Sus scrofa: one gene and its partners. The main gene of each other region encodes a partner of the protein of the gene in region 5 in a complex. Links are inferred from orthologs where the notes say so. Each region holds a gene or a part of one and is shown on either strand. Other genes may lie near its edges.

What was found.
Region 1: PIGP (region 5) and PIGH share a complex: the UniProt entries of both Homo sapiens proteins name them as parts of the glycosylphosphatidylinositol-N-acetylglucosaminyltransferase (GPI-GnT) complex. The link is inferred for Sus scrofa from reciprocal best matches to the Homo sapiens genes PIGP and PIGH.
Region 2: PIGP (region 5) and PIGQ share a complex: the UniProt entries of both Homo sapiens proteins name them as parts of the glycosylphosphatidylinositol-N-acetylglucosaminyltransferase (GPI-GnT) complex. The link is inferred for Sus scrofa from reciprocal best matches to the Homo sapiens genes PIGP and PIGQ.
Region 3: PIGP (region 5) and DPM2 share a complex: the UniProt entries of both Homo sapiens proteins name them as parts of the glycosylphosphatidylinositol-N-acetylglucosaminyltransferase (GPI-GnT) complex. The link is inferred for Sus scrofa from reciprocal best matches to the Homo sapiens genes PIGP and DPM2.
Region 4: PIGP (region 5) and PIGC share a complex: the UniProt entries of both Homo sapiens proteins name them as parts of the glycosylphosphatidylinositol-N-acetylglucosaminyltransferase (GPI-GnT) complex. The link is inferred for Sus scrofa from reciprocal best matches to the Homo sapiens genes PIGP and PIGC.
Region 6: PIGP (region 5) and PIGA share a complex: the UniProt entries of both Homo sapiens proteins name them as parts of the glycosylphosphatidylinositol-N-acetylglucosaminyltransferase (GPI-GnT) complex. The link is inferred for Sus scrofa from reciprocal best matches to the Homo sapiens genes PIGP and PIGA.
Region 7: PIGP (region 5) and PIGY share a complex: the UniProt entries of both Homo sapiens proteins name them as parts of the glycosylphosphatidylinositol-N-acetylglucosaminyltransferase (GPI-GnT) complex. The link is inferred for Sus scrofa from reciprocal best matches to the Homo sapiens genes PIGP and PIGY.

What each region holds. Positions count from the first base shown.
Region 1 is NC_010449.5:91,306,349-91,309,848, forward strand, and holds part of PIGH (phosphatidylinositol N-acetylglucosaminyltransferase subunit H), read right to left. Parts: intron 2,501-3,500; coding exon of another isoform or gene 2,489-2,500; exon of another isoform or gene 2,448-2,488; intron 1,513-2,447; coding exon 1,372-1,512; 3' UTR 1,323-1,371; coding exon of another isoform or gene 1,230-1,322; 3' UTR 1-1,229. UniProt on the Homo sapiens protein: Part of the glycosylphosphatidylinositol-N-acetylglucosaminyltransferase (GPI-GnT) complex that catalyzes the transfer of N-acetylglucosamine from UDP-N-acetylglucosamine to phosphatidylinositol and participates in the first step of GPI biosynthesis.
Region 2 is NC_010445.4:41,173,566-41,177,494, forward strand, and holds the start of PIGQ (phosphatidylinositol N-acetylglucosaminyltransferase subunit Q), read right to left. Parts: upstream 2,801-3,929; 5' UTR 2,759-2,800; coding exon 2,622-2,758; intron 1-2,621. UniProt on the Homo sapiens protein: Part of the glycosylphosphatidylinositol-N-acetylglucosaminyltransferase (GPI-GnT) complex that catalyzes the transfer of N-acetylglucosamine from UDP-N-acetylglucosamine to phosphatidylinositol and participates in the first step of GPI biosynthesis.
Region 3 is NC_010443.5:268,420,758-268,425,039, forward strand, and holds the start of DPM2 (dolichol phosphate-mannose biosynthesis regulatory protein), read right to left. Parts: upstream 2,801-4,282; 5' UTR 2,753-2,800; coding exon 2,750-2,752; intron 2,457-2,749; coding exon 2,367-2,456; intron 1,096-2,366; coding exon 993-1,095; intron 219-992; coding exon 160-218; 3' UTR 1-159. UniProt on the Homo sapiens protein: Regulates the biosynthesis of dolichol phosphate-mannose. Regulatory subunit of the dolichol-phosphate mannose (DPM) synthase complex; essential for the ER localization and stable expression of DPM1.
Region 4 is NC_010451.4:114,824,585-114,827,289, forward strand, and holds PIGC (phosphatidylinositol N-acetylglucosaminyltransferase subunit C), read right to left. Parts: upstream 1,395-2,705; coding exon 501-1,394; downstream 1-500. UniProt on the Homo sapiens protein: Part of the glycosylphosphatidylinositol-N-acetylglucosaminyltransferase (GPI-GnT) complex that catalyzes the transfer of N-acetylglucosamine from UDP-N-acetylglucosamine to phosphatidylinositol and participates in the first step of GPI biosynthesis.
Region 5 is NC_010455.5:200,692,631-200,696,882, reverse strand, and holds the start of PIGP (phosphatidylinositol N-acetylglucosaminyltransferase subunit P), read left to right. Parts: upstream 1-1,452; 5' UTR 1,453-1,559; intron 1,560-1,572; exon of another isoform or gene 1,573-1,832; intron 1,833-1,834; exon of another isoform or gene 1,835-1,879; intron 1,880-2,028; 5' UTR 2,029-2,050; coding exon 2,051-2,132; intron 2,133-4,252. UniProt on the Homo sapiens protein: Part of the glycosylphosphatidylinositol-N-acetylglucosaminyltransferase (GPI-GnT) complex that catalyzes the transfer of N-acetylglucosamine from UDP-N-acetylglucosamine to phosphatidylinositol and participates in the first step of GPI biosynthesis.
Region 6 is NC_010461.5:11,883,689-11,887,666, forward strand, and holds the start of PIGA (phosphatidylinositol N-acetylglucosaminyltransferase subunit A), read right to left. Parts: upstream 2,801-3,978; 5' UTR 2,718-2,800; coding exon of another isoform or gene 2,705-2,717; intron 2,699-2,704; exon of another isoform or gene 2,593-2,698; intron 2,587-2,592; exon of another isoform or gene 2,333-2,586; intron 2,327-2,332; exon of another isoform or gene 1,238-2,326; intron 96-1,237; 5' UTR 34-95; coding exon 1-33. UniProt on the Homo sapiens protein: Catalytic subunit of the glycosylphosphatidylinositol-N-acetylglucosaminyltransferase (GPI-GnT) complex that catalyzes the transfer of N-acetylglucosamine from UDP-N-acetylglucosamine to phosphatidylinositol and participates in the first step of GPI biosynthesis.
Region 7 is NC_010450.4:130,526,198-130,530,370, reverse strand, and holds PIGY (phosphatidylinositol N-acetylglucosaminyltransferase subunit Y), read right to left. Parts: upstream 2,801-4,173; 5' UTR 2,729-2,800; coding exon of another isoform or gene 2,526-2,728; intron 1,428-2,525; coding exon of another isoform or gene 1,286-1,427; 5' UTR 1,197-1,285; coding exon 981-1,196; 3' UTR 388-980; downstream 1-387. UniProt on the Homo sapiens protein: Part of the glycosylphosphatidylinositol-N-acetylglucosaminyltransferase (GPI-GnT) complex that catalyzes the transfer of N-acetylglucosamine from UDP-N-acetylglucosamine to phosphatidylinositol and participates in the first step of GPI biosynthesis.

The DNA of each region.
Region 1 (3,500 bases), on a different chromosome or scaffold from region 5:
TCAACAGGCATGACGAAAAAAGCAGCACATCAGAGTGTCGGCCTCTTTTAAACAAACTTGACTTTGCCAGGCTGGCAATTTTATAGCTGTCTCCCATTTCTGTTCCTGCCCTTCCCCCAGGATTTGGGATTTAGCTGAGACATTTCTACCTCAACAGGTGACATGTCCCATGTCCCCGCAGGCTCCTGAATAACCCTTCCAGGGCTGGTATAAAAGGCAGAAATTACAGCTCTAGTTTTGTAAGATCTTGAGTGGCTCTAAAGTAAATAAGAATATTATCACCTACCCAGGAATTTTTAAAAAAATCCCAAAGAAAAAGTAAGCAAGACTGGAGCTGTGTTCATACTGAATTTGGGGATCCAGCTATTCCCCCGCCCCATCTTCTTCCCAGCCCTTCAGGAATCCTGCCCTAATTCGTTAATTTTACACAGAAGAAACTGCCATGTAAACAGAGGCTTCTGTAGTCTGGCCTTTAACATATCTGGAAACCAGAGTCAAATTTCTGTCTGGCTTTTTGTCTCATCCCTCTTGGCAAAAGAAGTTTTTGAAACCATAGACAATGCTGAGTAACGAGAGTATTAATGTGCTTAACCCCCATGACTGAAATGCCATGATCAAGTCTGTCAATAAAAAGCAGCTGCCTGAACCAAGCAATTCCTTGTATGTTTTGGAAAGAGATCTGCTTATTAAGAGAATCATCATAAGCTAACCCTGTATGGGCGCTAGATGGGCAGAGGCTCATCTTTTGTAGGACATTTCCTCCTACCAACCAGTACCTGAAGGGCTTTTTTTTCCCTCCCTCTCAACTTTTATACAGGGGTACAGTGCAATTGGAAATTACCTTTCTCAAGAGATCTGATAATCGATTTCCCATTTTCTTGCTCCACAAATTGCAACAAAAAGTAAACTTGAATGTGCTCAGGAATTTCACAAAGTGCTCTTTGTCAGTGTTACTTCTGACGTATGGTTTCGAGGTCTCCCCTCAGTTGGTAAAGTACACAAAACCTGACAGGGGAAACCCTAAAACATACATAAATATTTTCCGCTGCATCGCACGGAAAATAAGTTAGATTTCCAGTCAGCTGCTCTATGGCTCTGGGATCCGCCGCATCCAGACTGGTTACTGGGCCTGCATCCACTTGATGGTTTAGAATCCGGAAAATAAACCAGTCGCTGTGGCTGAGGAGTCACCTCCCCTGGGAGATAATACTGATCACGAATGCTGGGACTCACGGGCTGGTTGACGTGGATTTCTGGTGTGCCAAGATCTCCTGGCAGCTCCTGTATACTTCAATCAAGCAGTCCAGCCGGGGCTTGGCACTCTGAATTCCAAGGGGGAGAAGTGCAGAGTCAGGATGAACGTCAGAGTGCTCAGGGCTGCTGCATCTGCAGTCTCTCACCCACGACAAGGGGGTCCAAACGGCACGGGTGTGGCCTCAGAGGCAGAAGTTCAGGCCTCACAGCACCTCGCTGGGAGGAGTCCCTTTGTAGGCCCACAGCCCAGCCTGTGAACTGCAGAGCAGGAGCTCAACAGTTTTATTTACTTTTTAAACTATTTTTTTAGGGCCGCACCCATGGCATATGGAGGTTCCCAGGCTACGGGTCGAACTGGAGCTACAGCTGCTGGTCTACACCACAGCCTCAGCAATGGGGGATCCGAGCCACATTTGCGACCTAGACCACAGCTCATGGCAATGCCGGATCCTTAACCCACTGAGCGAGGCCAGGCATCAAACCCTTGACCTCATGGTTCCTAGTCGGATTTGTTGCTGCTGCACCCCGAAGGGAACTCCAACAGTTTTAAATCTGTCTAAATTTCATGATCTCCATCTAAGAGCAAGCAAGAGGAATAACAAGGATGACCCTCACAGGAAGCGAAACAGTTCTCAGAGTCAAGAAGGGCAGTTTAATATGTAACTATTGAGGAGTTCCCTTGTGGTGCAGTGGGTTAAGGATCCAGTGCTATCACTGCTGTGGCACAGGTTCAATCCCTGGCCCAGGAAATTTCACATGCCACGAGTGCGACCAAAAAAAAAAAAAAGAGAAAAGTAAATATCAAAAATTATTTTACATAATAAAATGTAATACAAATTAAAAACCACAGAATGGGAAAAAAATACATGGAAAGCAAATTTAATAAAAGTTTGCTACCCCAAACATGTGAATCGTTACAACACATAATCAGTATCTAGATTCTACTTGACTAATAGAGGAGATGGACAGTTTAAAACAAGAAAATATAGATAATACAAGGAAATATGAAAAGTCTCTTTGCACTGACAGAGTTAGAAATACAGGAGTTCCTATTGTGGCTCAGCAGAAAAGAACCCAACTAGCATCCAAGAAGATGTGGGTTTGATCCCTGGCCCCACTCAGTGGGTTAAGGATCCAACATTGTGGTGAGCTTGCATCTGGCGTTGCTGTGGCTGTGGTGTAGGCTGGCAGCTGCGGCTCCGATTTGACCCCTAGCCTGGAACTTGGATATACCTCACCTGCGGCCCTTAAAAAAAAAAAAAAAAAGGATACAAATTTAATAACTCTAAATTCCTTTACCTACACACTAAACTAAAAAATAGCTAAACCCACTGTTAGTCAAGACTATAGAAAAGCAAGTACAAATTCCCAAAATACGGTAAAGGTGTCCAGTCTCTGGAGCCAACTCTCAAACACTGTCAAAAATCTTTGAAACTTCATAAGCTTTAGTAAAATAATTTTGAACTATAATGCAAAAGGCTTTTAGCTTAGCTGCCTTAAATCCTTTGTGAAAAAAGAAAGGTGGAGAGACAGTTTACTGCATACATAAATATTTTATATATCTATAAAATATTATAATCATGTTTGTATAAGTGTTTTTTTTTTTTTTGTAAGAAAAAACCTGGACATGATTTCAAAAGTGAACAAAAGAGTGACTAAATAAACTGATATTTGATATGATACAATTATTTAAAATAATCAGTATAATGGCCTCTGTGGCTGCATGAGAATACGCAGATTTGAAAAGGAACACACCAAACAGTGTAGAACAGTAGGTGTAGATCAGTAGCATCTCTGTAAAATCACATACTGCCTGACTGACAGAGACAAAGTGGCTGAATGACGATTTTTTTTTTTTTTTTTTTTTTGGCTTTTTAGGGCCGCACTGGCGGCATATGGTGGTTCCCAGGCCAGGGGTTGAATCAGAGCTACAGTACTGGCCTACACCACAGCCACAGCAACGCAGGATTGGGGCCCTGTCTGACCTACACAGCTCAAGGCAATGCTGGATCCTTAACCCATTGAGCGAAGCTGAGGATTGGACCCTCATCCTCATGGATACTAGTCGGATTCGTTTCTGCTGTGCCACAGTGGGAAATCCTGAATGATGAATTATAGGCAGAAGTTGCTTTAGGTTTATTTTTATCTCTAAAATTTGTATACATTTATAACATTTCTGAAAGCCTTTATTTGCCTCAGAAGGGAACTTTGTTTTTTTTTGTTTTGTTTTTTTTTTTGTCTTTTTG
Region 2 (3,929 bases), on a different chromosome or scaffold from region 5:
AGCTGCCGCCGCCGCCGCCACTGTGCCGCAAGCACCACGGGCTGGCTGGCAGCGCCCGACCTGTGGGCCCTGGCCCACATGTGGCCCAGTCGGCCCTGACAGACACATCCACTGGCCGCTGGGCCCACAGGTCGGGGTGACCCAGCTTTGGGTCTGGTCACAAGGCTGGTGGGGAGGCCCGGCTGTCCGTCTTCGGCCCAGGCTGCTCCCACCCCACCCTGAGGCAGGGGCACACGTCCCCCTTCAGAGCCGAGCAAGCTGGGGGGGGGCACTGCACAGAGCTGGGCACAAGGGTGCAATTTTTGTTTTTAAGGACCTGATGACAGTTCTTTGCATACACATAGAAAAACGTACGATCTCATGAACAACTAATGTAAATTAAAAATCTAACAAACCTTGATTTTCTAAGTTAGCGAGAACAAAGACGAAAAATTAAATGGCTGCTGAGCTGAAGGAAATGAGGCAGGGCACCGGCACTGGCAGCTGGCTCTGGCACAGGCGGGCCCAGAAGATGCCTGGGGGCAGGCCTGATGCCCCAGGGAGCCCGCACCCTCCCCCGGGGAGCCTCAGCGCCCAGGGCACAGGCCAGCTGCCTAGGGTTTTCTCTACGACCACCAGACCACTGGAGCCTCCAGCACTCAGCTCTGCCCCCCCTCCCTGGAGCCCCGCCCTCCTCTAGGACCCACTCCCCTGACCAAGGAGGGGTCTAGAAGTTCTCCCACCAGGGGAACAGCAGAGGGGACGCCAGCCTTCCCAGCCTTACAGGACCTCCAACTAGCCTTGGGGAACAGGGGACAGAGTAGGACACACATGTTGAGGACATGCCTTTCCTGAGGGTTAGAGCAGTCTGGGAGGGGCAACAGGTGCAGCTGCTTTCCTCCCGCCAGGTAGTCAGGGCACAGCTGAAGGGGGAGGCCTCTCCCACCTGTGGGTTCTGAATGGAAAGGGTCCCCTGAGTCAACCAGCAGCCAGGCTTCCAAATGCCCCTCTGCCCAGAGACCAGAGAGGGCCAGCCACGCGAGTGTCTCCAGGAGAAAGTCTCTGTGGCCATCAGCAAGGACCAGCTGGCCTTCCTGACCCTTCTGAGGGGCACTGTGAGGACAGAGCCGTTCTGCCTTAGGGTCCTGGCACATCTGGTTGGGTGACCACCTGGGGGACCAGCCAGCCTGGTCCAAGCCTCTCAGCACCAGCCCATCGGACACACCAGCTCAGCCAAATGACAGCATCACACCCTGCCTGGGACTCCTTTCACAGGACCTAAGGAAAACTGCCCGTAGCCGATGTCAGAAACTGAACACAACTGGTGGGAGGGAGTTCCCTGGGGTCTAGCGGTGAAGACCTGGAGCTTTCACTGCTGCGGCCTGGGTTCTGTTCCCGGCCTGGGAACTGAGATCACATCAAGCTGCTGCAGGCCACGGGCAAAAGAGCGAGCAGGGGCTCTGGGGGAAGTGGGCTACACACTGAGTTCACTTTCAGAAAATTCATTGAGCTGTACCTGTAGGTGCACTTTCTTTGTGTGTTTTATGCTTCATCTACAAACTTTTCCCAAAAAAAGCTCCTCTTGTCTAGGGAAGAGCAGAGAGCAAAGGGTGGTGTTCCCGTCCGTGGGGCAGAGAGAGCGCTCTTCTCTTAAATCATGGGGCAAGCTTCCATCCCCACCCCGCCTCAGCCTCTGGGCGGGACCAGCACAAAGAAGGCTCTCAGATCAGACCGCCAGGAAAAGATGAAAGAGCAGGCAATCGATAGCAGAGGTGCAGACGGGAGGGAGCAGGCAGCAACCCCGCGCCTCGAACATCTTTAAAGACTGTGCACAAGCCTGGGAAAGCTGCCTCTGTTAAGAATGACGGTCTGTCCTCTGGGACCCGGCCCGTTCCAGATCCGTTGGGGAAGGCCAATGCGGGCATGCCCGGCGCCTGGCAAGCTCAACTCAGTAGCCTACCTCATGAGGCTGAAGGCCTCCCACCTCTGCGCGAGTGGATCCAGGGCAAAAGCCCAGTTACAACCAGCCAGGGACGTCTCTAGCCCTCCCCTGTGGAGACTCGCGCTCCTCAAGAGCTCACAAGATCCGTTCTTACTCTATGTGTTTGTGTTTAGAACACAACAAGCGTTCAGTAAACAGTGCTTTTCTTCTCTCATTTCAGAAGAAGAGACACGAATCTAGGGCTCTGGGTTTTGCCCTTTACTGCAGTCAGGGACAGCTGTAAAGTGCTGACAGCCGGTTCCAATGACCCTGAATGCCCTTCCAAAGAGTCCACAGCGGGAACCAGGTTGGGCCAGAGGGACCCGGCTGGCCTCCCTTCACCCCACAGGGCCGGGACCAGATTCCTCGCCAGGGCACCCACGCCGCCCCGCCGCAAACGCGGGGCTTGGCGGACGGGCCCCAGGAGGACCCGGCGGGGCCTCACCGCCCTCCCAAGTCTCAAGCCCGCCCTGGCCGGCAGCGTCCCTATTTTACAAATGAGGAAACAGAAGCTCCGAGAAGCAGGAGGCCAGCGCGGCTCCGGAGACCCTCGGGCTCCCGGGTCTGTCGGGCGGCGCGGCGGGAGTCGGGACCACAGGCCGGCGGGGGCAGCTCCCCAAGGTCGCGCCGCAGGACGCTGGCCCGCCCCCTGAGTGCTCACCGGCTGCTCCCCGGGGCCGCCCCCTCGGGCGGCAGGGTCGGGATGGGGTTGGGGACAACGACGGGTGGGCCCGGGCGGACGACGGCGCTCACGGCCCCCAGCCCCGCCGCGGCCGTGCCGCGGGACAGGAGCCCCATTTCCGCCCGCTCCCGGCGTTGCCGCGCTACGGTCCGTCCCCAAATGTGCCCGGGCTGCCCGCCGGCCTCACGCACAAGCGTTCCCCGCATGCAACGTTCCGGACCCTCGAGCCAGTGTGGCCAGAATGACTCCCTTGTTGCCATAGCGTCCCCGTCTGCCCGACCCACGCCGCGCACCTTGGTCCTCCTCACGCTCTGTGCACAAAGCCCTTGTCCCACCTCCAGCCTACCCACAGTGTCCCCAACACCCCTGCCTTCCAGTCATCCACCTTGCCGCAGCCACCAAACCTCTCTCCCATCCCGAGTTTCCTCGTCTGGGGACCCATTAGACCTGACAAATGAGGATCCCCGCCCTCTCCTTGCCCCCCACCATCCAGGTGAAAGGACCCCAAGTCCTGGGTGGGATCTCCCGGCTCCCCTCTCCCAGCATCCTGGTTCCTGCAGGGGCCACGTGAGCTTGGAGGGCCAGCCCAGAGGCTGAAGCCATCCGATCTGATGGCCCCTCCTGCTCCAGGGAAAAATACCCCCAACACCAGCAGCAGCAACTAATGTTTACTGAGAACCGGCAACAGAACTTTCCACACTGACCCGCTAACCCACCGCCACCTCCGCAGAGCCGGAACATATAGGCGGGACCTTGTCAGGCAATGGCCCAAACCACAGACCCCTAAACCACAGTCCTTGTGAGAGGCAGAAGCATCCCTCACCAGCCGCCCGGGCAGGACTAGGCACTGTCCCCTCCCCCTGAAGACCCCCTCACTGGAACTGGGAGCAAGGCTGGGCCCCAGACTCAGAGTAACCCCGCACCTGCCCGCCCCTCCGGGCCTCCTGTTCCTGCTGTTTTTCAGCAGCAGGAGTCTGTCCTCACAAGAACTGTCCCCATGCCCTTGCAGCCTCGTTTGCGGAGGAGGAAACGACGGCTCAGACAGCCTCCTGTGGGAGAAGACGCCCAGGAGCCTGGAGGTTCACAGCTCAGCCACGTGACAGCCCAGGGCGCCTCCAGGGCAGCCCCTCTTCTGCCCCCCCTTACCTCGGCTGAGGCCAGAGAAGCTGCAGGAGGCTCAGAACCTGGGGCGCCTCTGAAAATGGGGGACTGTGAGGGGCCGCGCCCCTTCCCAGACTGCCCTGATGAGCCCAGCCCAGCCACACCCTCCCCGCCGGCTTCTGTCTG
Region 3 (4,282 bases), on a different chromosome or scaffold from region 5:
GAGTCCTGAACAGCTCCGTCCCCCTTGGGCCGGGGGGGGCCTTCAGGGCAGCTGGGCTTGAGGGGGGCCTCAGGGCCTGGATGGGTCCTGTGGGCCCCCCGCCTGGGTCTGCCCTGGCGAAGAAACGGAAAGGGCCGCAGCCTTATATCGGCCAGGCCCTCACTGAGCCTTTTTGGTCACCTTCTGGCTCTTCAGCATCACGGAGGTGATGAACACTCCTGGAACACACGGGCCAGAAAGGCCAGTTAAGGTCCTGGCTCAGGGCTGCTGGGAGGCCGGAGCAGGACAGAGCATGACAGAGGGACCCGCAGGCGGGGCCAGGCACCGACCCAGCCACCCTCCAGGTTCCCCCGGTCATCTCCCAAGTGGCTCGCTAAGCCACACCCCCACCTATATTCATTCAACAAACATCAGCCGAGGGCTGACCACAGGCCACCTGCTGGATTTGTGTTTCCGATTTTACAGGGAATAAGATCCACCCAACCATCCATCGACTCAGCTAGTCAACCATCTGGCCACCTACCTCCCCAGCTGCCCACTCAGCACCTACCATCCACCTACCCCATCATCCAGACACCTGATTGCTGACTCACTCAAATGACTTTTTTGAGCACCAACTCAGTGCCACAGCATGTGCTGGGCACTGAGGACACAGTAATGATGAAGATACAGTCTTTGGCCTTAGGAAGCCCACACACTAAACCCTGGGAGTCAGAGGGGTGCAGGAATCAGAGGCCAAAGTGACAAGGGGGTGAGGGGTGATGGTGGTGGAAGGAGCAGGAAACAAGGAGACACCCCATTAGAGTCCAGTGAGCCTGAGGATCGAGAAGCCTGCAGCCCTGAGGGATGAACACGGAAACCCCAGGGGGTGAACTGAGGGCAAGGAGCCTCCAGCAGGTGTACCGCAGGGGCCAAAGTACAGCCGCATGTTCAGGTGTAGGAGAGGGTCATGGGGTCCCTCAGACACCCCGCCCAGGGTTGGGAGAACTTACCCACAAAGAGGAGCAGCAGGAGGCCGGCGGCCAGCGGGATAGCAACAGCATAGGCCCGGGGCAGGAAATACTTGTGGATGACATGCTGACTGTCAATGAATGGCTGGCACAAGGGCAGAGCTCCGGTGAGCATGCCTGGCTCTGCTGAGCGCCCCAAGCCCAAACATCCCACCTCCTCTGTCTCAGGGGCTGACCCCGTCAAAGCGCTGGGGCTGCATTTGCTTTTCTTTAAGATGATGGCATCTTGGGTGCTTTGGTTGGTTCCCTTCCTTCATTTTTCTACAAGTGGTATACTAGGTACTTCCCTGGTGCCTGCTCTAAGCTGCTGCTGGGGACCTGGCTTAAGTCCCCCACAGCTTAGCAGGGGCAAAGGGTACATGAGGAATCCCAATCTGGGCTCCAAGATCTTTTGTTTTTGTTTTTGTTTTGCTTTTTAGGGCTGCACCCTCGGCATATGGAGGTCCCCAGGCTAGTGGTGGAATCGCAGCTACAGCTGCCAGCCTACATTACAGCCACAGAAATGCGGGATTTGAGCCGCATCTGCAACCTACACCACTGCTCATGGCAATGCCGGATCCTTAACCCACTGAGCAAGGCCAGGGACTGAACCCGCAACCTCATGGTTCCTAGTTGGATTCGTTTCCACTGCGCCATGACGGGAACTCCACAAAAGTTTTCTTTACTAAGATTTTTCTCCCAAAGAACATCAAGTTCTGCAAGATTTTGCTTCCCAGAGTTCCTGTCGTGGCTCAGTGGTTAACGAATCCGACGAGGAACCATGAGGTTGTGGGTTCCATCCTTGGCCTTGCTCAGTGGGTTAAGGATCCGGCGTTGCCATGAGCTGTGGTATAGGTTGCAGATGCCGCTTGGATCCCACGTTGCTATGGCTCTGGTGTAGGCCGGCAGCTACAGCTCCGATTCGATCCCTAGCCTGGGAACCTCCACATGCCACGGGAGCGGCCCTAGAAAGGCAAAAAAAAAAAAAAAAAAAAAAAGATTTTGATTCCCAAACACACTGCACATTTTAACACATTTTTCCACCGGGGGGGGGGGGGATATCCCAAAGACCCTCACAAAACCCATTGGCACTTGTCATGCCCAGGAGCCCGCAGGATAACCAGAAGGACTAGAACTCCCATTAAAGGCACAGGACCTTACAGTGTAGTGGTTCAGGATTCTACCTTAGGTCTGAACCTTCTCCTTGAGCCTCGGCTTCGTCATCTATACAATGGGGACACCGCTAGTGTCGTCCTCCTACTGCTGCTCTGACGCTTTCATTACATGGGCAGGTAGGCCTGTCACGTGCTTAAATGTTAGGAGTTGGCTTCAAGATCTAGGGATAGGAGGTGAGAGCGGACGAGGAAGCACACATACCAACAGAATCACCCAGGTGGTGTAGTACGTGAAGATGATCAGGCTAACGGCGACGAGGCCGAGTCCCACCACCTGGTCTGTCCCTGTGGCCTGGAGAAAAGGGAAAGCTCAACTGAGGAAGTGACCCTCCATTTAGGTGCACTAACGGAGGGGGGAGTTGCCGCCTGATTACGCCCATTCACTCAGCAGGCGTATCCGACGTGGCTGACGAGGTTTCCATTTCCTGGCTTGAGACAGAGTGCAGGCTAAAGACCTACCACCCGTACGATGGGCCGGCGGGAGAGTGATCCCGGCTCCCGAGAGCTCAAGCCTCAGCTTCTGAGTAGACCTAGGACCCCACACCCAGACGCCCTCATTCCCAGGACTCCCAGCCCCAAGCTCACCATTTCCCCAGCGCTCCAGGCACCGGAGCCGTAAGCCACATCCGGTTCCGCATCCGGGCCCTCCTGGCCTTGGGCCGCGGGGCCCGTCGGGAGTCGTAGTCTTTAGGCAGTCCCAGGACTACGTCGCCCAAGACAGGCAGGCACCGCCTCCCCTTTGCATTTCGGGAAATGTAGTTTTCAAGAGTATTGTGGGCCGTGTTTCCGAATCACCCTGGGAAATGGGACCCAGTGGGGAACCCAGATAGGCTGCATTTATGGTCTCAGTCGGGTCGAACTCGACCCAGAAAAAAACCCCATCTCAATATCCGAGTCCCAAGGCCAGAGCGGGATGGGGTGGGGGGTCGAAAGTCCCATATTTGAGACGGGGAAAATGAGGCTCAGAAAGAGGCAAGCACTTGAAGATCACAATCCGAGTAGAGGGTGCAGCCGACTCCAGAACCCGAGGGCGCTACTTCCTGGTGTGGTGGCCCCAACTCTTCTGTTGAGGGTAGGGTGCAGACAAACGTTCACCGGATAATGCTGAGGGTGGAAGCCTTAACTAATTTTACTCCACAATCTCTTAATGATACTGCAGAAGCTATTCCTACCCTAAATATGGAACAAAAACAAATAAGAAAAGTAGTGCTGCAAAACCGAATGGCCTTAGACATACTCAGTGCAGGCCAAGGAGGTACCCGTGCTGTCATAAAATCTGAATGTTGTGCCTATATTCCTGATTATTCGCAGAACGTGTCTGATTCCCTGCGAGATCTCCGGCAGCAGATTCGTGAGATGTCTGATCCAGCTCCATCCAGCTTTTAGAGCTGCCCTCTGGAACGGGTTGACCTCCTCCTCCTCCTGATGGAAATATTTGTTCACCATAGTCATCATTGTGATCTTGAGCCTTTTATTTGGACCCTAGATAATTAATTGTAGGTCTTGCTTTGTTATGTCCTGATTAAAAGCTATCAACCTACAGATAGTGAAAGAAAGGGTACCCAAGGTAATGTATTGAAGCCCACTCAACCGACCGTGCCATGAGTGGAGACCTAACCACTTTCCCTAAGGACACCCCTTGTCAGCAGGAAGCAGTCAGAGCAGTCGGTCATTGTCCCCCCGCCTCCAAAGTTAAAGTCTCCAACTCTGGGGGCAGGGGGGGGGGGCACTGAGGCAGAATAGTCACTCAGGTAGTCAGTGTTAGGAGCTTGGGCTTCGATGCATTCTTGGATATGTCTATTGATTAACATTTGCGGCTAAAGGGCTCCAGGGAGTAACATCCCCACATGCCTTGTTTCCTCCAGGGAGTGTACCTACGCCCAGACGGACATTAATCTCAAAGCCCCCTGACTCAGGCTACGGGAAGAGAAGGGCAAAGACACCATGGGACTTACGGGACATTTCCACCCCTAAGACCCTATTGGACAAGGACTGAACTGGGCAAGGCCAATGGGAGAAAACCACAGCTTTCTGGACCTCACGTTGGTTACCCCCCCCCCATCTTTAAGGGATAAAAACCCCAATAGAGAGTGGGGCTCTTCTTGCCCTTCCCAGCTG
Region 4 (2,705 bases), on a different chromosome or scaffold from region 5:
GCCAGATCCGAGCCTCATCTGTGACCTATACCACAGCTCATGGCAACGCCAGATTCTTAACCCACTGAGCAAGGCCAGGGGTCGAATCTGCGTCCTCATGGATATTAGTCAGATTCGTTTCCACTGAGCCACGACAGGAAATCCACACACATATTCTTTGTGTCCCTTTTGTCTGTCTTCTGCTTACAGAAAAATTGTGAGACAACTTGATGGATGTGTTGTTAATTTTTTTAATAGATAGAAACCACATCACTTCATTTGTTACATTGAATGAGAGGCAATAATTGAAGAGGGCCCCACAAAGCTTTTCCCGCCACAAAATAACAGAAAGGATAAGCACCTTCACCACCCAAGCCTTTGGTTAACTTTTTCTTTTGATTTCTGATCTCCCACCCACATCAGCATGCTGCTTCCAGAATGGAATTCTGCCTTCGAATCTTATACTAGTTGGAGGGCTAGTCTATCAGTTTGTCTTAGTAACAGAATGGAAGTCACCAAACTCAGCTGAGGAACCTGGACAAGTCTTCTTTGATTTCAGCCTCATCCCAAGGCCCATGAATGTTCTCTTTAAACAGCTGCAAGCGAATGAGGTAGAAAGGACAGAGACATGAGATGGAAACCAGCAGAAGGGCAAAGAGTATGGCTCCCACAACACTAATGGACAGGAGGCCTCCCAAGGCTGAAAATGCAAAAAGCAGTGTGACTCCCACATAACTGCAGGGAGTACATGCCTTCAGTTTTTTCTGTAACATGGGCCACAGGGCAAAAATCTGGATGGCAAATGTCACCATGATGAAGGCATGTAGGGACCGGGGCAGGCGTGAGGCAAGGCAGACAGAAGCAAAGATGGCCATGTTCAAGGACAGTGTGCTGGATACAATGGCAGCATTGGCACCATAGTCAAAGAAGATGAGGTGGCCCAATAGCATGAAGACTGACATGGCATAGATGGTGTCAGTGCTGACAGACTCTGTCAGGGTCTTCAGCACCGGTGAAAAGCCGTATGTGAAAGTAATGAAAACTAGGGCACTCTTCAAGTCAGCCCACCGGGTCCGCCCACTCTTCTTCCGTCCTTCACCTCCATCAATGAGATCAAACAAAACATAGCCAATCAATGAAGAGGCCAGGCCAGTCCCGAAAAGCCAGTGGGGTGCCAGAAGACCCTCATCCATATACCACCAGATAACCACAAAAACACAGACACTGCATAGCTGCTGGATCACCACACTGGACTCAAATACTACAGCCCAATACTGGTATTTCCGGGCATAGATGTTTTTCCGGAGCTCTTCCAGGAACCTTCGGTCCACATAGTTATCAGGAAAGGGCTGTCGCTCATACAAGACCTTCTGCCACTTGGCCTCTTTGGTGTTAGTTACAGGCTGTGAACACATTATCCTTTTGCTCAAACTCAGGCTAGTTCAATCTCCGTTGTAGAAGTCCATGTGGTTCTTGTTCTTTATAAAGTTTTGAAATAAGACCTCTCTGGAAATTTCATGTTGAATGTGGTTGATATGGTACCAACCTTCCCTTGCTTTCAAAGGCAGAACCCAGGCTAGACCTTTAGTAGATGAGTTTGTTCTCTGAGGCAGGACAATATAGCCAAGTTCCTAGAAAAAGAGAGACTGTGAATCTATGAATGTTGTGAAAGGTCAAGGGTAGGACTGAGTTAAAATCAAACCAACTTATTGGGTTATCATAAGCTTATTAGAAGTCTGAACAAAATATATATGGTGGCCATCATGTAACTGAGGACATTAAAATTTCATTTCAGATTTTACATTATAATCCCTTAGCAGCTACCATTTGTCAAGAGTGCATACTATGTACTAAGAGCCTTACGTAGCTTCTTTCATTTAATCTCCACAATCCTGGAGATTAACCCAACTAATAAAGCAGCAATTCAAAGTGCTTAGGTAACTTTAGCCCAAGTTAACAGTGGTAATTAGTGGAGCCAGATTCAAAGGAAACTTCTTTCCCAAAGGCTTCACATGTCTCCCTCTAAACTAGTTCTTAACTCAGGGGTTCACATATCCCTGAGGTCTATGGATGGGCTTCAGACCCTTCAACAACCCTCCCAGTCAATGCATATTTGTAGTTGTAATTTATGCAGATTTCTAAGGCTAGGATCCAAAGCTTTTACTGGGTTCTCAGAGGCATCTATTACTGAAAAAAGTTACCGGTCTAAAAACAAAAACCTCATAATAATAAAGGTACAAGCTCTAAGGTTTATTTAACTAAAGCCAAGGACTGGAGATTCTTAATCCCTTGACCGAGTTTAGCAGCCTTAAAAAGAGTTATCATTCTACTTATTTAACGCGAAACTCTAGGAAGGATCGGAGATAATGATCTCCTTTCCACTACTGCAAAACTAAGAGTCAGAAATACCAAGATCATCCAGCAGGTCTGCGAAGAAAATTCTTATGGCCCGACCTTACGTCTTCCATGGAGACCATGATAGGTTTTGCTTCACAAACCAGACGCCCTGGGAGGCTCCCTCACCGCAGCAGGGACCCCAGCCCCGGCATCTCACGGCCGCCGCAGGGGGCTGGAGGGTCCCAGGCGCTGAAAAGGGCAACGCCCGCCCGCTGGGTCGGGGACAGGGCTGGGGAGGGGGTGGGGAAGGGGAGGGTGTCCCCGAGGGTGTACCCCGCCCGCCGCCACCCCTCACCCAGCCTCGGCCCTGCGGGGGATGGCGGAGGAGG
Region 5 (4,252 bases):
ACGCCATAAACACTACATGAACCGTTAAGTATTATCAAGAAAGCCCAGGATCGGCTAGAATGTATTTGCCCAGTTGTCGTGTACATATGTTTTGGAAGGAGTCTGCAATTGAAGGGCTTTGAGCGTCCAGGGCTCCTCTGAATCAAGGTACGTCACACTGGCACCTGCCAATATTCACCTACGCCTTGGCTCCATTTTTGGCCCTCGGCCTCCTTATTCCGTCCCCAAAAGGCTGGCTTGACTGGCCCTACTTGACATCTTAAACACTCTGGAACAGCTGGCCAGACCCGCTGCGGTCCCCCCTCCTTATTAGCGTTGGGGGGAGGTAGGATGCTCCGAAAAGGCGAGGGGAGGAGAGAGGGTTGGGTTTTCTCCCCCCCCAATTCCCCTCCACGGACTCGGCAGCCATTCTCACGAAAACAGGTGGCGCAGATAGAAAGAACACAAAACACAGAGGACAGGGCGTGCAAGAACGTTCACGAACACTCGCGAACGAACACCCGAAAACAGATCACGCACTTGACAGGTCCAGGGGCAACAGGCGCGCGGGGACACACGAGGACGCATCCCCCAGCGGACGATGCTGCAGCTGGGGTCACGACTGCAGGAGGCACGGCCACGCGCGCGTGGGGCGCGCACCCCCCCGGAGAGGGGCAGTGACACAAAAGGGGGGGGCCACCCACACTCCCGGGGGCGCCCACGCTGTCGACGAGAAAAACCTGCGCAGACACAAAGCGGCCGAGAGGGGACCCACGGGCGCGTGCCCACGCGCTCGGGCCGGTGCACGCCCCCGCACAGAGCGGACCGAGGGTGTGCAAGCGGCCGGGAGTGCGCACACAAAGGGGCTACTCCCACCCCCGCACACCCCCAGAGGTGACCACATTTGCAGAAAAGGGACACGAGACAAAGGGGACACACCCGCTAGGACCTACAAAGGCTGCCACACACACACCCCCAACGCACCGGCACTCAACCCACGCACACTGCGGGCACCAGAGCCAACGACGCGAGGCGACGCGCACACACCCACACTCACCACACACCCACGGAGGGGGTGTGGAGGGCCCCTCTCCCCGGGCATCTCCGCTGCAGCGCGACAAGGTGACACATCCGGGAGCCCTGCCGCGCGCCAGGTGTGCACTCACCGGGGCCGGCAGCCCGCGAGCCTCGGACGCCGGCCGCCGCCGCCGCCGCCTCGGGCCCTCCACGTCAGCCAGCTGGCGGCGGGGAGCGGGCGGCTGTGCAGGCGGCAGACGCGTCACGTGGGCTGCAACGCACATGCGCCGTCGCACCGCCCGGCCCCCACCTCCGCGGCGACGAGCCGAGCGATCCCGCCGGCCCCCGCGCCCGCGCGCTTCTGCCCAACGAGGGTCGCGGTGCGCCTGCGCGCGGGCGGGGGTTGCCGTGGTGACTCGGCCTTTCTCGGGTTTTCTGTGCTCTCGCACCCTGAGGCTCCCTGGTCAGCGCCTGCGCAACGGACTCAGTGCGGAGGTGGCGGAACTGCTGGGAGTGGCTGCGTGGGCCCAAGGTCTAGGGCCACCCGCGCCTCTCATCCCCAGGTTGAAATGAGAACCATAACCCCGCGAGAGGGCAGGGCACGTTCCTGGGCACCCGAAGCCCCGGCCTGGAGAGGCGGGGCACGCCTCCTATCCTGCCCTGCCTTTCCCTTCCCTTTTCGCACCAAGGCGAAGCCTGCAGAGCTGGAGCGGAATCAGTCCCTCCCCTGCTCCCCCGCTTCCCCGATCCTCCACTGCAGGCTATGCGCGCTCTGATGCGTGTGCTTGTGTGCGCGTGCACGTGCGGTTTGGGGGCTGGTTGCGCGTGCAGGCGAGGTATGGGTGCTCGTGTACACCACTGTGCGGGCAGTCTTGTGTTGGAGGTGTGTGTGCGCAGGGTGGTTGTTTGCAGTGGTTTAGGCTGGGAAGTAAACTGCAGAGGCTGCGCCCGTAGCAAAGCGATGAGGTTATAATAGACCAATGGTGAAGAGGAGTGAATCACTGACAGATGATTGTGTTTTTTTCCCCACAGATTTCCAAAAGCCACAGGGAAAATGGTGGAAAATTCACCGTCGCCATTGCCAGAAAGAGCGATTTATGGCTTTGTTCTTTTCTTAAGCTCCCAATTTGGCTTCAGTAAGTACTTTCCTGATGGATGGCCAGGTCCATTCTCTGGAGTTCAAGGACAAGGAAATGATTGCGTTTGTTTATAGAATATGCACACGTGAACTGTGACTCTTTCTACCTTTGTCTCTTCTTGAGAAAACCTGAAGGGAGCTCTTGTTTGTTCAGAGTGTTCTATATGCCAGACATTAGCGTAAAATATTTAATCTCAAATATTTATGTAGCACCAGACAGGATTGCCAGGTGAATGAAACCTGGTCCCTGCCCTTCAGGAGGTGACGGTTTTGTAGACAAGACATGAGTAAATCTGCAGTTAACACTGTGTTAAGTGCTGTGGGGACCCAGCAGAGAGACGAGACATTAAACTAGAAAATCAGAGTTAGTTTTCTCCCAGGGAATTTGTCTTCAGCATTAAGAAGGAAGAAGTGGGAAGGCCTTGAGCAAAGGCATGGTGGGGCTTGGAAGTAAGTAATGGTTTGGCCCTTGTGGGAGCTAGAGAGCGACAGGAATCAGGTTAAAGAAGGCAGCTGTGCTTTACATTCCCAGATCTCAGGAGTTCCTGATGTGGCGCAGCGGAAAGGAATCTGACTAGTATCCATGAAGATTTGGGTTAGATCCCTGACCTTGCTCAGTGGGTCAGGAATCCGGTGTTGCCATGAGCTGTGGTGGAGGTCGAAGACAAAGCTCTGATTCAACCCCTAGCCTGGGAACTTCCATATACCACGGATGCAGCCCTAAAAAGCAAAATAAAATAAACATTCCCGTATCTCAGTCCGTCCCCATAAGGATCCAAGCCTCGTCTGTGACGACAGCTCACCGCTTTTGACTGGATCCTGACCCACTGAGCGAGGCCAGGGATCAAACCCGAATCTTCATGGATACTAGTCGGATTCGATTCCAGTGCAGCACAACGGGAACTCCAACAGTGTTCTTCAGGTTTATTTTGGTTAGCAAAAAGAGATACTAATGTAGTCTTTCACAAACTCGAAATGGCTTAAAGCAAACTTGTGAAAAACAGGAGATACTTGTGCTTATTAAATGTTAGCTGCTGCTGCTGTTATCAGCGTCATCGTTTTTATAAATCCATGTTCTAAGAGTGTTTGAAAGATTAGAAGCTGTAAAATAGGTGACTTTAAGACCTAAATCCAATAGTACCCACAACCAGCAATTAATTCAGCAAATTTTTCTTGCATACTTACCATGTGCCAGGCACTGTTCCAGTCAAGGGAGGAGCAAAACAGCCCAAAATTTTCTGCTTTCATAGACTTTTCATTCTGCTGAGGGAAGAAAGCCAGTGGACAGATTAAATAAGTAAAACATGGAGTTCCCAACATGGCTCATCAGAAGCGAATCTGACTAGCATCCATAAGGATGCAGGCTCAATCCCTGGCCCCGTTCAGTGCATTAAGGATCTGGCATTGCCAGGAGCTGTGGTGTGGGCCGAAAATGCGGCGTGGGGCCCGCGGCTCACACCACAGCTACAGCTCCAGTTCCACCCCTAGCCTGGGAACCTCCATATGCTGTGGGTGCAGCCCTCAAAAGACAAAAAAAGACCAAAAAACATGCAGAATGTCAGATGGTGATGGAATAAAGAAGGATAAGGCGTGGGAGGAAATAAGGCGTTGCTGTTGTAAATACAGCAGTCAGGAAATGCCTCGGTCAGATGACTTTTAAGCACAAACATGAAAAGTGAGAGTCAGTCATGTGGAGAAAGAGCCTCCCAGACAGAGACTAGCCAGTGGTTTCAGGGAACAGGTAGAGGTCGGTGAGGTTGAAACCTGCAGCAGTGAGGCAGAAAGTAATAGGACAGAGGAGGTCAGAGGCCAGTACCCAGCAGCTGTGATGAAACTAGGTGGTGGGTATGGGGGCGGCGATGTTACATGACTATCTCAGTGCATTGTCAGAGTTCCCGTCATGGCTCAGTGGGTCGAGAACCTGACCAGTATGAGGATGGAGGTGAGATCCCTGGCCTCACTCGGTGGGTTAAGGATCCGGCATCGCCATGAGCTGCAGTGTAGGTCACAGACATGGCCCACGTTGCTGGGGCTGTGGTGTAGGCCGGCAGCTGCAGCCCCTTTTTGACACCTTATGCTGCAGGTGTGGCCATTAAAAAAAAAAGCTGATTGTCTAAT
Region 6 (3,978 bases), on a different chromosome or scaffold from region 5:
CTGGCTTGGCCCACCTCCTCCACTACAGGCCATGCTGAGATGGTTTAGGCATTAGTCCTTGGAGGGACCCAGTTAAGATATGTGTCCTCTAATACCTGAAAGAGAGAATAAACGGGATCTCAGCTCAGAGACAAAATACAGTCCATACTCCAAATGCAGATATAAATATGGTTTTCACGTTACTATAAACCTGTTTTCCCCCTGGAAATACAAAGCATATAATGAATTTATGAATTCAACAACCTTTGCTTGCTTAGCATTTACTATGGGCCATATAACAAAACTAGCTTCTGCAATGTCCTGGTATCTTTTTTTTTTTTTTTTTGTCTCTTGTCTTCATAGGGCCGCACCCACGGCACATGGAGGTTCCCAGGCTAGGGGTCGAATTGGAGCTGTAGCCGAGGGTCTATACCAGAACCATGGCAATGCCAGATCCCAGCCGCGTCTGCGACCTCCATCACAGCTCAGCTCATGGCAAGGCGGGGTCCTTAACCCACTTAGAGAGGCCAGGGATCAAACCCACAACCTCATGGTTCCTAGCTGGATTCGTTTCCGCTGTGCCATGACAGGAACTCCCCTTACATCTTAATTTTGCTCTAAAAACACTGCTACAGGATTTTAAATAATGTTTGTTACACCACATTATATAATAATTTGCCATGCTAACAAACCAGTACATTCTAATAATTAAATACATAGCTCTTTACAGGAAAAGTTTGTGAAGCTCATTCTAGAGCTTAGCCACCGACTCAATGAATCTCAAGTTCTGCTAGTATAAATTCTGTGGCTTATACTAAGATATACCTGGAGTTAGAACTTTCTTGTTCTTTTTTTTTTTTTAATGGCTGCACCCATGGTATATAGAAGTTCTCTGGTCAGGGACTGAATATGAGCCGTGGCTGGACCTATGCGGAATCCTTTAACCCACTAGGCCGGGCCTGGATGGAACCCGCACCTGCATAGCCACCCAAGCCACAGAAGTTGGATTCTTAATCCACTGTGCCACAGCATGAACGCCTAGAACGGTCTTTTAGAGCAGCTTTTTTTTTTTTTTTTTTTTTGTCTTTTTAGGGCCGCACACACGACACATGGATGTTCCCAGGCTTGGGGGCGAATCGGAGCTGCAGCTGCTGGCCACATCCACAGCCACGTGGGATCCGAGCTGCCTTTACGACCTACACCACAGCTCACAGCAACACTGGATCCTTAACCCACTGAGCAAGGTCAGGGATCAAACCTGTGTCCTCATGGATGCTAGGCAGATTCGTTTCCACTGAGCCGTGACGGGAACTCCAGAGAGCAGCTTTTTAAAGTGTCACCTGCAGCGCCGCCGCAGACCTCCACATTCTCCTTCCTTATTCAAGAATGATGACATCAAGCCGCTCCCTCCATTTTCTTAACCTTTGTTATTTTGGTTTTGCCTCCAGGAGCGTCCCTCCCTTCCGTCTGGAATCTGATCTAGAGATGCAAAGGGAGGGACCTGGGGCCATTTTCTCCATCTAAAGTAGATGTTCAGCTCAGGGGTTCCCAAGATCATCAGCACAAAATGGACGCTCAATATTCAGTATGATTATCAATGCTTAGCTGTTTAAAGCTAAAGAGAGGCTTGGAAAGTGAGTGAAACTCTTCCTCAGCTTTACACGTTGAGATTTCCATGCTTCCAGAAACTCAACTATTCAATGGGAAGCCATCCTTAGAACCTGAGTTTCCGATTTCACCACAAACTCAAAAAAAGCAAATTAACAGTCATCTTTACTTTAAAAATAGTCTTAGAAACACTCCATTATGTGTTTGTTGACCTGAATACTAATTGAGATTCACTACTACCAAATCATGACACTCTTCAAGTCTGCACTTTTAAGTCGTCCTCTGTGGTTTGTCACCTAATCCCGAATTTCCAGTTCCATTTAATTTTAAAAGATGAGCGATAATGAAAGCAGTTAATAAAGAACCAAATGAAATCATTTAAAGTTCTGTCATTAATCCGCAATATCTTGTGAGGAAATCAGCCTAACATCACGGCGTAAAAGCCCAACAAACGTCACAGTCACAGAACCTTAAGGTTTTAAAGCTGAAGAGAGGCTTAAAGAGCTACTGGATAGCTCTTATTTTACAAATGAGAAGTCACACAAGTTGAGCGATTTGTCCGAGGTCCCCACCCGGCCACTTAAGCGGCAAATGCGAGATGGTCATAAATACGGCCACGGCCACCGAGTCCCTGAACAGTCCTGAGGAGCAGAGAGTCCTGAGGAGCCTTAAACCTGGTGGAGCCTCGGAATCTAGGCGAAGGGGCTCTCACCCACCCCCAGGGAACCGTCCCGGCTTCACTCACTGAGCGGTTGCTGGGCAGCGCCAGGGCCAAAGAAGGGACGAAACGACTCAGTCAGCGATCCCGTCAGAGTCAGGCGGGGTCTCGCCAGGCCCCAAGAGGAAAAGGGCCAGAGAGTGGGCAAAAGGTTGAGGCCGGCGGTCCCGGAGCCGTTCGCTCTGCCCGCGTTAACCGTCGCAGAACCGGCTACAGCGCGGCCGCCGAAGCGCACCCTCATCCCCACTCGACTCCGAAGACCCTCGGTCCCCACTTCCGAGCCTTACACCGGGTCGGCTTCGCCCACTCCATCGTGGGCCACGCTCTCCTGGGGGCAGTTCAGTCCCAGCTAAAAGAGGCAGACAGTGGCTAGCCCGGGGAGGTCAAACGCGCACTTACCGGCTAGTCCCATGGCCGCCAGTGTCCGGACCTCCCGCGGCTGCAGCCGGAGTCCCACCCCGCTGCCCCGAAGCACCAATCCGGGGCGTCCGCGCCCGAGCGCCGCGCCCCCGAGAGGACCAATCACGAAGAGGCGCTGGGGTCACGTGCAGGAGAGACGCTCAGTTCCCCACCCGTCAGCGCGGGTTGCAACGTCAGCGCGCGCGTGCACATATCGCCACGATGTTCCGGAAGACTAGTTTTCTTTCGATGGAAAGCAGTAATCCTCTGTTTAACCTTTTATATGAATTCTTAATGTTGAGATTTTCTCAAAATTGGCCTTGGCCTCTTGCTAAACAAGGAGCCAGCCCACCAGGACCCTTCGACGGAGTAAAACCGGCACTCCCAGCGTGCTTCACAGGACCCTTCCGCGCTCCTGGGAGTTGTAGTCCCGTCGCCTCCGGAGGCGAATCCGAACTTAGAAAACTCATTCCCAGGATGCACCGCACTTCTAAACGCGGATCTTGCGGACGGGTGGGTTTGGTGCCTTGGTTGCCTAGTTACAGCGTCTCATTTTGGAAACCTGTTCTCTGTGGCTTCCAATTCAGACTTTTGGCTGAGAAGGCTACAGAAAGTCGGAGTCGTGGTGGCGTTTTGTTATTATCTGTGCCACAGCCGATTCCCCAGGTTCTTACCCCTCTGGTAGAATTGCCTGAGGTAATAAAGATACACAAATGTCAGGTCAATTTTTTAAATAATTTGAATATCAGATAAATAATTTTTTATGTTATGTCCCTAGTATCGGGGACTTTACTAAAAAATTATTCGTCGTTTATCTGAAATTCAAATTTAACTGGGCATCCTGTATTTTTTCTGGCAACTCTCCACTCTGGAGAAAAAATCTGAGGTCTGGCCTGAAGTATCAACTCCTGTTCAAACTGGTTCTACTGGCTATCATGGTGCTTGGCCAAGAGGGTAATGAATAAATGGGAGTGGTCTGGTGGTTATCCACCCCCTCACAGTTGGTACACGGAGTTCCCCGGTCAAGCAAATGCCTTTCTGAGCACCATCAACCACAGCTTCCAGCACCCATTTTAAGCCTGTAGAAAGCCTATTCATCCCTGAAAATTCCAGCTCCTTTGTGATGCCTTCCCCAAACCTCCAGAGAGAATTAAATCCTCCCTCTTTTATATTTTGATAGTACTTTGGCCATATGCTAGTAAAGCATTCATCAAGAGATGATTCAACTTGTTTGCCTGGCTGCTGCACCGCCACCCACACCCCCACTACCCCAC
Region 7 (4,173 bases), on a different chromosome or scaffold from region 5:
GTTACATTGAGTTCTTAGGCTTCATGAGGGTAAATACTGAAACATTTGTTATACTTCTGAAACAGTTATTGTACTAATCAGTCTTATTGAAAATTCTGGAAAATCAATAACTATTAATGTGTCAAATGCTCATGCCCTTAGTATTGCTAAATAAATAGGTCTCTTATGGCAGAAAAATAAACTGAAATGTGGCTCAATAATCGCCCTAACTAAACTCAACAGGACACAATCAGCTATTTGCCAGTCTTTCAATTCCACCTCTCCTCACAGCACATACTTTCCTGGGAAATTCTGTTCTATTTTGGGTGCCTCTCTAAACATATAATTTCCTTGTCTTTGAATTATATTCTTGTGACCAAAAGGAAAAAAAAAAAAAAACCAAACACAAAACTGCAAATTGTTTTATGGAAAATGTCAATATCTTATTAATAATGTAAGCCATCTGATGCCAAAGAAATGAAGGCAATTTTACCAACTCAGAATTTTGGCAAGTACATGAAATTTACATTTTATTATAGTTTTATATCACACTAGTCCAAATGCATTTCTCTACAATTACTCCCCATAGCTCCTTGGAATTATCTCAGTCATCCTTCACATGTGGCTTTACCAAAGGCTTTGAACCTAAAAACAAACCTACAATTTCGAATTAGTAATTTTTAATTATGAATGGGATAAGAACAAGCCATCAGATGATGGCTGTGGGGGTGCTAATTTCCAACAAGCCACTTTGTTGAAATGTTTCTTCCGAGAGACCAGGTATAAATCAGAACCTTCAAAAAGCAGGGGAAGAACCAAAATACAAGAAAGAAGCCTCTTGCAGCTTAAACGTCACATAGTCCTAAACCTCTGACAAAGGCTAATAAGCAAAGCCTCTTTCCTGCAAAGTCTGGGTTTCCAGTATTTCCATGTGGCGGAGCTTTCGGACACACTCACTCAAGCATATCATGAGTTTAAATACCATCGTGGCTCCGGCTGCGTTAATTATGCCGGAAGAGTTTAATACCCATCCAAGTCCAGAGGTGGAAGAACACGTAAACGGGGATGGTGATGGGCAGGAGCAGACTGTAGAAGCACAGGCTGGCTGTGCTGGTGCAGCCCTGGGGGAAGCTCTCTTCCACGGAGGCGGAGTACAGCAGTCCTCCCAGAGAGACCAGGGGGACAAGGACAGTCAGCGTGGGAAGAGACAGAAACATTCTTCTCTCCCACCCACCACCCGCCACGCTGGCTTCTTCGAAGGTGGATGGTGTTTAGAAAATTTCCTTGTGTTGTGTTTACGTATGACCTAGTGCTGCTTCATTTCTTCTTGCTTCTTATTTTGATGTGTCATCCTAGCTGCCTGTGGTATCATATTAGGAATCCCGTCAATAATCGGATAGGCTATTCCCAGCTCTTCATTAATCAATTCATTTGTCGATGGTTCATATCTGAGGGGCAGAAGAAAACCAAAATGAATCCCGGAAGAGTCTGAGGTTCAATAAACAGTAACATTTATCCAATTCTTCACACAGTTAGAGCCAGAAAAGCAGAATTAGACTGTTTTTCATTCTAAAAGCAGCAGTAGCCAATTCAACCATTTCTCTTAGAAAAGGAATCTCTAATTGTTCCCATTTTAGTCTGTTTCTCTCATTTTCTTTTTCACGTTATTCTTAAGCTATGCCTTAGTGGAAAAAAAAAAAGAAAAGATCTCTCCTTTTCATCCAAATATTCCTTCATGACTCTTTTAAACCCTCAAACGATCCCAGCTAATTTACTACTGGAACAGACACGAGAGGAAAATTCAGCTTCTTCGCTTATCAGAACACCTGCCTCACTGATCCATGAGAAGGAAACCACGGAAGCAGCAATCTACCACCCAAAGGCAGCCACTGATGACACTGCGGTGTTTGCTAGTATTGTCCACGTTCAGGTTTAGCAGCCTGCAACTGCAGAGATGTTTATCCTAAAGAGTCTAGGTGAAAGGTTAAGAAGGCCTTTACAGAACCGGCTGGTCGAGAACTAAAAACCAAAGGGCCGCACACGTAGCTGATGCGCTTAAGATCCTACCCGGCGTTTTCGCAACAATCTGGAAGCTATCACATTTTTCATCGCCTTGCCTTAAAAATCTGAATGCCATGGATTAGTCTTCCGAATCCCGAGTTCATAACCCTGGCTGTACAGGAAGATCACTTGGGATCCTTTCAAGAAAATACGCAGTTGCTCTGGCTCGGCCCCAAGGCCTTCGGATTGAGCCCGGGTGGGGCGTTGCCTAGAGATCTGCGTTTTAAGAAGGATTCCCCCGAGATTCTAAAACGCTGCCGGCGGAGAAGCTGCCCGCCAGGATCCAGGCCTGCGAGTGGCCGGTTTGGTCCGGGAGGCCTGGGGCTCGGCTGGGGCCTCCTCCCGCCCTTCCCGCGGCGGAGCGAGTACCCGGGAAGCTGGCGGGCCCGGGTCCAAAACATGGCAGCGAAGAACACCCGGGTGACCTGAACGTCTCCCCGGCGACAGGGGGCCACCAGGGAAAAGCCGCAGCGGACGAATCTTACCTGAGCGGCTTCTTGGACAGCGGGCACACCAAGAACTCCAGCAGCGCCGGGTCGAAGGCGCGTGGCGGTTTCCCCTCCTTCTTGTTCTCGTCCGCGGACGGCCGCGAGCCCGAAGCGTGCAGGCACCTCCTGGCGACCGCGGACGGCGGCGCGCGTGTCCCTCGCAGCGCTAAGGCGAGCCGACCGCGCGCTCCGCTCAGCATGGTCTGGCCGCCGGCGCGCGGACCTCCGCACCCCCTGGGCCGCTCCGGCCGCTCCAGCCGATCCCGGGGAGTCCCGCCCAGGCGGCCAGGCCCCGCCCCCCGGTGCTCGGGAAACGCTGCCCCCGACGGCTGGAGGCCCGCTCTTTGGTTCCGAGGGCGCTCGGGACCCGACTGCTTTTCCCGCGGCACCGCTCGGTATGGAGAGCCCCGCCTGCAGCCTGGGCTTTCTGCGGCTCTTCCTGCCCGTTTGCAGGTTGCAGACAAAACCCACGCTCAAGTGGAGGCGTCCTGAGTTTTCACCAGGGCCTGTCGCAGGGCCTCCAGGAAGCCAGTGGCCGGACCTCAGAGTCACACAGTGATAGACTTGGACCTCCGTGGTTATCACCAAAAGGAGGTTTCCAACACACTGTCACACTGGGTATGTTAAAAAGCATTACTTGTTTTATGTGTATCTGTCAGTCTTTGCAGTACCACACTTCCTATAACCTTGTTTGGCTTTTTTTTTTTCTCCTTTCATTAAAAAAAATATAAGAACGGGAAAAGAATGGCTTAGTCCTCTTAAACTTAAGATGCCCAGTTTCTTACCCTGGGCTCAATGGCATAATAATAGCACCACTCATTTGCTTCTGTAAATGAGCTTGGAAACCGCAAGGAGTCTAAGTAACTGTGTCCTTTAATTAAGTGGGTGATCCACACAGTGGTTTTTTTCTCGCCCCGCATTTGCTTCTGACTCTCCCAGAAAATGATGCGGATTTGATCTCTTTCTTATAGTGTAGGAGGTAAGTGCCGGGGGTCCGGGCCTGACACCTTGGTCCCAGGTGCATCGTTTACTAGTTGTAGGGCTCCCGCAAATCTCCTAACTCCCCAGCTTTCTTTTCTTTTTCTTTTTTTTTTTTTTTTTTTTTTTTTTGTCTTTTTGCCATTTCTTGGGCCGCTCCCGCGGCATATGGAGGTTCCCGGGCTAGAGGTCGAATCGGAGCTGTAGCCGCCGGCCTACGCCAGAGCCACAGCCACGCGGGATCCGAGCCGCGTCTGCAACCTACACCACAGCTCACGGCAACGCCGGAACCTTGACCCACTGAGCAAGGGCAGGGACCAAACCCGCAACCTCATGGTTCCTAGTCGGATTCGTTAACCACTGCACCACGACGGGAACTCCCTCCCCAGCTTTCTTATCTGTGTAATTAGATTAATTATTGTTCCTACCTCATATAATTCCATCCTGGGGCTTAAAATGTGCTAATGAATGCAAAGAGTATTTAGAAAAATGCCTGTGGCAAATGAATGCTCAGTTAATGGCATATGTTGTCATTTTTATTTTCTCTATTCTTTGCAGCCCAGTATACTAGAAGATTCTTGGTTAGTCATCAAAATCCACCCCCTTTTTTTGTCCTTTTAGGGCCGCACCTGCAGCACATGAAAGTTCCCAAGCTAGATAGAGCTCA